Neurospora crassa OR74A: one gene and its partner. The main gene of each other region encodes a partner of the protein of the gene in region 2 in a complex. Links are inferred from orthologs where the notes say so. Each region holds a gene or a part of one and is shown on either strand. Other genes may lie near its edges. The genes, in order: gna-1 and gnb-1.

Region 1 (4,461 bases), about 2.2 Mb from region 2:
TTGCCCATAGGAAACCGGGACCGCCATTGCTCCCCTCTCCCACGCCGCCTGCAAAAACAAAGATAACACATCACGCGAATAAGCTTTCTTGGAAAAAACAGAAGAAGTAGAGTAAAAAAAAGGAAAAGAGACCTCGCTTGTCTTGGTATATCGTTTGCTGCACGCGCGCGCGCGCCGCAACGTTTCCCGCCCTCTGTTTTTCTTTGCCCTCTTACAGCCACAGAGGGGAGAATAGCGGAACGAAACGGGCGTCGCTCATCTCTTCGTCCGTCGTGGTTTTGGTAACCCCTGCTCTTTCTTCGCCTTTCCCTTCTCTACCTTCCCTCCAATCGGTAGCGACCTATTTGTTTCCAGCATCCTCTCCCCAGAACCCATGGGCTTGGATCCCATTACTTTCTCCCACACCACTCATGGAAAAACACCCGAGTAAGATTGAGAAAAGCACGCACGCCAAAATCATCCATTTCTTTTGTTGAGAGGGGCTTTTGCTTCCCGTAGCAGCCGCGGTGTCCCTGAGGAGAAAGAGCAAGGTGAAAAGCGCCCGGATCAGAGGGGATAGAAAAGATGATAGAAAAAAAAGAAATCGTACAGAACACCGATAGAGAGCAAAGACTCCAAGGTCGATGGGGAATCATGATTAAACAAAATAGTTAGCCCCCCTCTTGATGATGCTTCTCAAATGCAATTTCTCCAGGGACGCCCCGAGGTGTATGTAGAGCTCATATCCACTCGAAAGCCCACGCCACCTCCACTAGATCATAATCTGGAGGCAGAAACTGTGGGCATGGAGCCAGCGGCAGCGACTGGGCGGCAATACTCGAAGTTCTGATCGGTATCAACCGCTTGTCCGGACCTCACAGCCCCATTAACTGATGAAAAAATTAGAAAGATTGCGTTCAGTGCTCAAATCAAACCGCAGAGACGCAGGTTCTCCTGGATAATGATATCTGTTTTGGTCTGTTAGCTTCTTGTCCACGCAAAATTTCGAAGTAGACAAATAACATACCATTGACCGCAGCCATGACGAAACGAATTTGTGTGGTATCCGTCGCGCATGTGAAATGCGTGTAAATCTGCTTGGTCTCGTGCTGGTTCAAACTGACGAAGCGGTTGAGAATGTAGTCGCAAGCGGCAGCGTAGTCATCACCACCCTCGTAATCGGGGAAGTAGTTCTTCATCGGGCTGACCGGCAACTTCTCCTTAAACCTATCGATCTTGTTGAGGAAAAGAATGATGGATGTCTTGATGAACCACCTGGAGTTGCAGATGGAATCGAACAGAGTAAGGGCCTCCTGCATACGGTTGACGGTTTCATCTTCGAAAAGCAACTGATCGTACTCGGAAATGGCGACCAAGAAAAGAATGGTGGTGACGTTCTCGAAGCAGTGGATCCACTTCTTACGTTCGCTACGCTGGCCACCGACATCGAACATACGGTACGTAAGATCGCCAATAATGAAGGTCGTTTCCGTAATACCGGTTGTCTTGACACGTGATCGCAGAACGTCCTGGTCGTTGGGCATATAGTCGGGCGCGGCGATACGAGCGATGTTATCGAAGTAGCTGTGACAGCATGTTAGCGGTTGGAGACCAGAGCCTCCCTCATCATGCGGAGACTTACTATCTTGCCGAGTCGTTCAATTGGTATTCCCTTGACCTCTTAAAGCAGCTCTGGACGCCAGCGTCCCTCCAGAGGGCCTCGATAGCATTGCCAACCTCAGGAGGCAGCACGTCACCTTCTATTTGAGCGGGCTGCATGAAGATGGTCTGGACATGGTACTCGACGCGCTGATCGGCGAGTGGCAACTCTAGGGACTCCATGGCCTCGAGAATGACACGCATGGACTGCACAGTGTTGCTGAAGATGATTTCCTTGAACGACTCGCGCTCGTCGCGCGAGTAACCTCCTTCGTGGATAAGCTTCATCTGCTTCAAGATGGTCGACTTTCCGGATTCACCAGCACCTGCAACATATTGTCAGCTTCTGTGAAATTTCATTGGTGACCCAAGGGTCCGGACCAGGGCCGCGCCAGCAATTGGCTTGTCGGGGGGCATGACATACCCAGAAGAAGCATCTTGATCTCATTGCGTTGTTGCATGCGATCCCTCTTGAGCTGGTTCTCAATCTCCTCGTTCCGGGCCTTGCCCTCCTTCTCCTCTGTACTCATTCCGCAACCCATTTTGGCGACTTGTTGTAGCTCGTAGCAATGATAGAGAGTGTCTGTTTCGTTATTCGGGGATTATTATCGACGGTCTGGTGACGAGTTTGAGGTTAGTATCAGAGCGATGATAATTGAGACGAACTGGGACGTCGACAGGCGATTTGTATTTGTAAGTGTTAGGGGGGGCGAGAACCCCCTGGTCTCTGGGGGGACGGGAGGCAGTCCAGTTGGAGTCTCCGCTGCGAAAAATAGCGGGTGCCCTTCCAGAAACGAGCTAGAACCACCACCCCCGAAAAGCCTCGGAGTCGCTGTCATTGCGCCCATTGAAACCGCAAACAAATGTCGGATCGAGGCTCGATGGTCGATGCAGTTTCGAAGGTGTCGATTGTTGGGCATGGCAGCGCTCGGTGAGGTGCGATTGATGGGCAGCAAACAGGACAGACAGCCTTTGAGGGCAGCACGACGAGGCCAGAGGATAATGGGATGCAAAGGCGTTCGTTCTCTTGCGGTGGACTGGACTGAATGAAGTGCTTATGTTGCGAACCTACTCACTTTTTTTTTTCCGGCAGTATACCACGCAATTGCAATTAGGCCTTCAATCAACCGCACTTGATTGGAAGGGGAGCGTCGGATCGGTTGGTGCGAAAGGGAGAGACGGGTGCAGCTCGATAATTAGAAAGTCGTCAAGACCATACGATAGGTAGGTGATTGTCGCGAGGTAGGCGGCCAAGAGTAGAGTTGCTGCTGGACTCTCTCAGCAATTCGCGGTTTGCGGGAGGAAGGTTGTCGAGCCGGAAAACGGAAAACGAAAGGAAGGGAAAGATTGGGGAATTGGTGGAGGAATGGGAGGTTGGCTTTGTCGGTGTTAATGTGAGTGAAATGGAATGGTGCGCACTCTCACACCAGACCCAAACCAGGCGACCAGGCACACTCCAGCACTGATGCGTAGGTGCTGACTGCGTAGTGCGTACAGGCATCGGGCAGGCGCACAGTACAGGCACTACGCTAGACGGCACTCCGATTTCCAGTCCCAGTTCCATCAGTGAATTTCGGGGGCAGCGACCCAGCAGAGACCCACCGCGCACTCTCCAAGGTGAGATGGGCTCCAGCCGCGATGGCACTCTGGCTAATCAGAGGCGGTCGTTGCGTGCATGCAAGTGGGCCAATGCAACAGACCCTGGGCTGCCGGTCTTGGGAGTTGGGACGATGGACTCCTCCTCCTCGTTTGGATGCCGACCTGTACGACCATCATTGACCCTTTTCGTCCTATTTGAACCTCTTTTTTTGATAACACGGCTTTGCCCTTTGAGGTTGCTTTGCGACTGGCTGCCTTGCCCTGTGCCTGGCTTCCTAGTTCCAAACATTGTGAGTGGATGCTACTCTAGGCTGCTGTTCATGTTCATGCACCGCGTCGACGGTGGAAAGAGCGTAACATCGCCCACCCCCTTCGAGACCCTCTCTATCCATTTTGATCCATCGCCCACCCGACGTGTGCCCCTGGCCTGGCCTCCAGTGGCATCCGTACCTGGCATGACATGGAATGGAACAAAAACGGCGGACACCACTGGCCACCATCATCACCCTTTGCATTTCGACAATCGCCCTTTTCTGCTCCAGTTCCTCGCTCCAGTCCGGCCCATCCCATGCGATCACCAAGGGGATGGCCACATGGCGGTGGGCGAATTTTACCCCAAGACTGCCCATCCTGACCGTTTGAAATTTGGCCAGCCGATAACAGCCATTGTCGGTCGAATGAAAAAAAGCGTTTCCAGTTTTCATGTTTCTTGGTTCTCCTGACTTAGCTCAAAGAGTGGATCTCTGGGCAAAGGCTAGTCGGCATCCCAACGCGGCCATGTTTTTGCGCTGGAGCCGTGTCGAGCCCCGTTTCGTCCGTACCTCCGGGTCAGGAACAGAAGAAGAAGAAGAAGCAATGTACTGCGTAGTGTAGTGCCTACCTCGCTAACATCTCCATATTCCGTACACACACTACCGACTTCGTACACACAACACTACTACATGCGCTACGAATGCGCAGTCACTGCGATTAATGGCTTCTGTCAACACGAGACCGATTGAGTGATTGCAAAAACAAGATGTTGGAAACCCACTGAACTGTCCCGGGCCAGAATTAGCAACAGCGTATCAGCAAAGGTACGGGAAAGACCATGAGAATCTCTACAATTGATATGGTATCACGCCGCTGAGCACATCACGTCGTGCACGGATTTTGTGTATGTGCGATACGGTTCAGCGATTGGGAAACGAGGCTTATGAGGATAATCCCCTTCTCATTCCATCT
Region 2 (4,376 bases):
CCGCAACTGCTGTTTACCGTCGCCACTCGTGAGCCGATCCCCGCCTCTTTCTCGCGAAAAACACAAGACAAAGGGACCGTTTTGCATTCCCGGCCTACTTTATCAACACACGTGAAAATAGACACCCTGACGGTTTCCTACCCACCCCGCCGGTAATAGACTAGAGAAAGACCAAACGCTGAGAAAATGCGCGCAAAGATGTGGATAAATACGTATAGAGAGGGTATCCGGTAAACTGGTTCAAGACACAACCCCTGTGAGAGACACTGGCAACCACTCATGTGGAATATGATACGACCCGTCGAGCCAGACCTTGATGATTATTGGACGTTCTGCTCCAGCCAAACCGGGTCCAAAAAACCTGGTACAGACGTCCCTGTAATAATGCCCGGGGAATTACGCGACCCGAAGTTGATGAACGTGTCGGATCATATTATCCGGGGGGACGTTTTCTGGAGGGGAGAGGCGGGTTGGCGTACGGAGAGCTGAACAAAGCCAGGATATCGCTGCCGCCCACCTTGCGAACTGAACCCGCTGAAAATATGACGCAGCAAATCGAGTGGAGTATCGGAAAAACCGCTATAGAAGCTAAAAAGGATTCCAACCGGGGAGCAAGGCCAGTTGATGATGGTCCAAGCCCGGGGAGCCGAGATTGTTGGGTCGAAAAATATGTCGTGACTTCGTCCTGTCTACGCCAAATCGCAAGGATCAAGAGGCGTTACCAGGTTGAATAGAACAAATAGAAAAAAGCACTCGATAGGCTTGGCAAAGTGACGCGTCGTGGTCGGGTATCCAGAGGGTGCCGGTCGTATCAGTATCACACATGCGCCTAATATGCCCAGACCTTGAGCTGTGAGGGAGTTAGTCTAATCTGCGGCCTGTACCATATCGATCTGATGTTGCGGGTAGAAACTTACCAAGGAGTCCCAAGAGCCTGTGCACAAACTTATTCCATCGTTGGAAACGCCCAGACAGCTGACACGGTTTTCATGACCGACGAGAGAGCCAACCTTTTCAGCGCGAGTAAGATCCCAGACCTTGCATTCAAAGTCATCGTAACCGGCAAAGAGCAAACGTCCAGAGACTGATGTCGCGACAGAGGTAATGCCGCAAAGAATAGATTCGGACTACCCAAATGTTAGCTCTAAAGCCACCAAGAGAAAAAAAAATCAAGAACCGAGAGGAGAATAATCCACAGGTTACTCACGCGATAGCAGTTCAACTCTCTGTCTGCGCGGATATCGAAAAGTCTGCAAGTAGCGTCATCGGAACCCGTTACGAAAGAGTGGCCATCGGGGAAAAACTGGATGGCGTTGATATCGGACTCGTGGCCAGCGAATGTTTGTACGGCCTTGCCAGCGCGGATATCCCAAAGCTTAGCGAAAGAATCGCAAGCACCTGACACAAAGGTATTCTGGTTTGTGGGGTTCAAGCTGATGCTCATGACGTCGCCCAAATGGTCGGCGAACTCAACAACCTTTGTTCCTGTCTCGATATCCCACTTCATGCATGTCATATCGCCGGAGGAGGTGAGGATGCTGCGGTCGTTGATGAAACGGCAGCAAGAGAGATAGCCCGCATGACCTGAAAGCTCCCGGTAGACACGAGTTGGGCCATCACGGTTCGAGTTCAGGTTGTAAATAGAGCAAATGTTGTCAAGACCACCGCAGGCAACGAAGTTGCCGCTCGGGGCATAGGCGCAAGTCATAACCCAAGACGATCGTAGGGGAATGGCGTGAACTTTGTTGGTCGTATAAGCGTCCCAGATGATGAGCTTGCCGTCCTGAGATGCTGAGACAAGATGCCTCCGGTCGGTAGACCAGTGCATCGCATAAATCTTGGCCAGATGGCCCTTCAGCGTCTTCTTTGTTTTCATCATGTTGTTCTTCGGAAGTGGCTCATGGGCCTGTTGCGCGACCTCGTAGACTACACATCATGTCAGCAACACTATGCAGCGGTCAATCCGCCGTTGACGACGGCATGCATGGGCGGACAACGGCGCAGTTCGCGACCTGCCGACAAGGGGACTCACGGGAAGTATCGGCGAGCCCTTCCTTCTTCAGCCTGATTCTGTCCTTGAGATTCTCGGCCTCGCGACGCGCTTGTTGAATTCGTGCCTGCATCGCCTCTGGCGACACATCGCTTGATCGGGAGTCCATCTTTCTCTTTTTTTTTTTTTCTTGAGGTGTGTTGGTTCAATTCGTAATCACAATTGGCGACGAACTCGTATGAGGGACGGACTACTCCGAAGTGATGTTGTTGTGACTGGTTGAGACAGGGAGAATGACGATGACAAAGGTTGGACTCTAGGGACGTCGGATCTTCAGAGATGCAGCAAGTCGGAGTCGGTTGCTGGAGTGTGGATGTTGAGAATGGTGCAAAGCAGTGGTGCTGGTACGGGGCGCCGGTGGAGGAGGAATTGCTAGCTCCAGGGGTCGGGCGATGCGGTGGTGGGCCAATTCAAACAGCTAGGCAGGCGAGGCAGGTCCCGATCCTGCTCTGAACGAAATGACTGCTGTTGGAAAAAATGAGGAGAGTGGTGGAGAGGGATTGGGGGGGAAAAGCCTCTTGCTTGTCCACGGACAGACTCTTGTCGAACGAATGAGTGGATGGCGGATATTGACCAGGCGAAGAGCGACCCTGACAACCTAGAGTATGGAGACTAAAGGCAGGCGTGCGTGGCGTCAGCTTTCGAGAGAGGGTGGCAGGGCAGTGATGGACAAGAGAGTCTCGAGCGACGCGACCGACGCGAGTGACTGTCAGGTCGTAAAAGCAAGTTGGAGAGGCTGTCGCTAATCGACAGGAGTTCGGTGGTGAAGAACAGAAAGAAGGGGAAAAAGAAGGACTGGGGATCGATTTCGCTTCTGCGAGTGGGCGGGCGGCCGAATCGAACTGGCGAACGAAGAGGCTGGCCAGAGTTCCTCTTCCTTGCGATTATTACCTGGTGCCAGATTGGGTATGGGCCCGGGGGGAGGGGCCCGGTCGGGGGGTAGCACGATGGAGCCTTTGCTGGGTCGCTGCGTGCACTGCACTGGGCTACTGTACTCTACTGTAGGGGCAGAGCGGAACCTCCTCACAGAGTGACGGGAGGCCTGCACTGGGTCTACCTGTACTACCTAGCCTGTACTAGTGTCCGGGTACGTCTACGCTTGGGGGCAGGTGGAAGGAATGGAGGCCGTGTCAAGCGTCGTCCTGTGAAGCAGTGTGGAAGTGAAAAGCCCCAAGAGCCGGGTGTCAATGGAAGCGGAAGCGAGTGCAGATTGAGGTTGTGGTGTACAACTAGGTACAGAGGAACGGATTCGGTTTTTCCAGGTTCGTTGGTGTCCAGTCGGGTCTCCCAGGCAATGGACGGGATGGATGATGCGTGCAGCAAACCTCCCCAATGGAGCGAGCACACTACACTACACACGTCTGCATGAATATACCTAGTTTACACCTACATAGTACATACATAGTAGTAAAAGAGCAGCGCGGTACAGCCAAGGCGCTAGTGGTTTTACAGAAATCTTCTGTTTGAGAATGATCAAACTTGTTATTTCTTGTACAAGCTGCCATCTTGGGTATGAAGGCCCTGCCACCCCCAGAGATCGCCCAATTCACGATTTTTTATCCATAACACAGGAGAGCCCGGTCGGCGGACAGCGGGCTGGATGGCGGGCCGAAGGGCTTGGATGATGGAACAAGACGGGACTTTTGAGAAGGGAGTAAAGGGATTTGTGAACCTTGAAGCTGGGGCAGTTATTTCGACTTCTTGCCCTCTGATTCTGATCTTCAACATTTCAACGGCGGACATGGACACCTCGCACTAGCCACGCCGCACCGGACTGCACCGCACCGCACCCCCGATGGAACAGGAAGAAAGAAAACGAGTTAAATCTTGCCAAGCTCTTCAACAAGCCTGGCCGAAGGCACCGGAGTCATGGATCTCTGAAATTGAAGGCTCCGTTGCGCCCCATTCCTCGGGTGCAGCTCCTCCCCCGTGGTTGATGGGCGCATGTCGACTTCTCGCAGAGTGGATGCAAAGAATATCCCGCCGACTGACGAGACCTCCACCAAGAAAAGCCAGGAGGTGGAAGCTAAAGAGACTGTGGGTTCTCTGTGGACTTGGTCACCCTGCTTCTTTGCAGTGAGTGCCCTGGTCTTGGGACGTGTAAGCGGGCGGACAGCAAGGCCCCGCGGACGAATTGCACTTTGCGCCGATGGAGAGCGGAGACGGCCCACGCAAATGCATGTGCACGGACTGGCTCCACCGGACGGACTTGGGGTCGTAAATGTTCGCTCGCGCAATGAACTCGATTGAAATCAACCAGACTTTACAAATTTCAGGCACCCACGCTCGCACGGTATCATTCAATCGCTTTGATTAGTAAACCCAC

What was found.
Region 1: the proteins of gnb-1 (region 2) and gna-1 are in contact, whole or in part, in a cryo-EM structure (PDB 7AD3), measured with the Saccharomyces cerevisiae proteins. The link is inferred for Neurospora crassa OR74A from reciprocal best matches to the Saccharomyces cerevisiae genes STE4 and GPA1. Residues at the interface, in NP_014855.3 of Saccharomyces cerevisiae: Asn85, Gly90, His91, Asn92, Lys94, Ser104, Gln112, Asp113, Phe115, Leu117, Ala122, Ser123, Leu125, Lys126, Gln127, Asn128, Ala129, Gln135, Trp136, Leu138, Leu154, Asn155, Asn156, Arg168, Cys182, Tyr183, Asp224, Leu226, Ser248, Asp272; in NP_011868.1 of Saccharomyces cerevisiae: Thr7, Gln8, Thr9, Ile10, Asn20, Lys21, Ala23, Asn24, Ile27, Glu28, Ser30, Leu31, Gln32, Glu34, Lys35, Asp38, Lys43, Thr301, Gly302, Ile303, Glu305, Leu318, Arg324, Ser325, Glu326, Lys329, Trp330, His332, Cys333, Phe334.

Annotation. Positions count from the first base shown.
Region 1 is NC_026503.1:1,614,150-1,618,610, forward strand, and holds the start of gna-1 (heterotrimeric G protein), read right to left. Parts: upstream 3,109-4,461; 5' UTR 2,715-3,108; intron 2,255-2,714; 5' UTR 2,181-2,254; coding exon 2,063-2,180; intron 1,965-2,062; coding exon 1,622-1,964; intron 1,564-1,621; coding exon 1,007-1,563; intron 948-1,006; coding exon 904-947; 3' UTR 1-903. UniProt on the Saccharomyces cerevisiae protein: Alpha subunit of the heterotrimeric guanine nucleotide-binding protein (G protein) that mediates mating pheromone signal transduction.
Region 2 is NC_026503.1:3,863,067-3,867,442, reverse strand, and holds the start of gnb-1 (guanine nucleotide-binding protein beta subunit), read right to left. Parts: upstream 3,003-4,376; 5' UTR 2,160-3,002; coding exon 2,033-2,159; intron 1,927-2,032; coding exon 1,208-1,926; intron 1,128-1,207; coding exon 918-1,127; intron 851-917; coding exon 830-850; 3' UTR 1-829. UniProt on the Saccharomyces cerevisiae protein: Implicated in the a- and alpha-factor response pathway. The beta and gamma chains of the putative yeast mating response pathway G protein play a positive role in initiation of the mating response.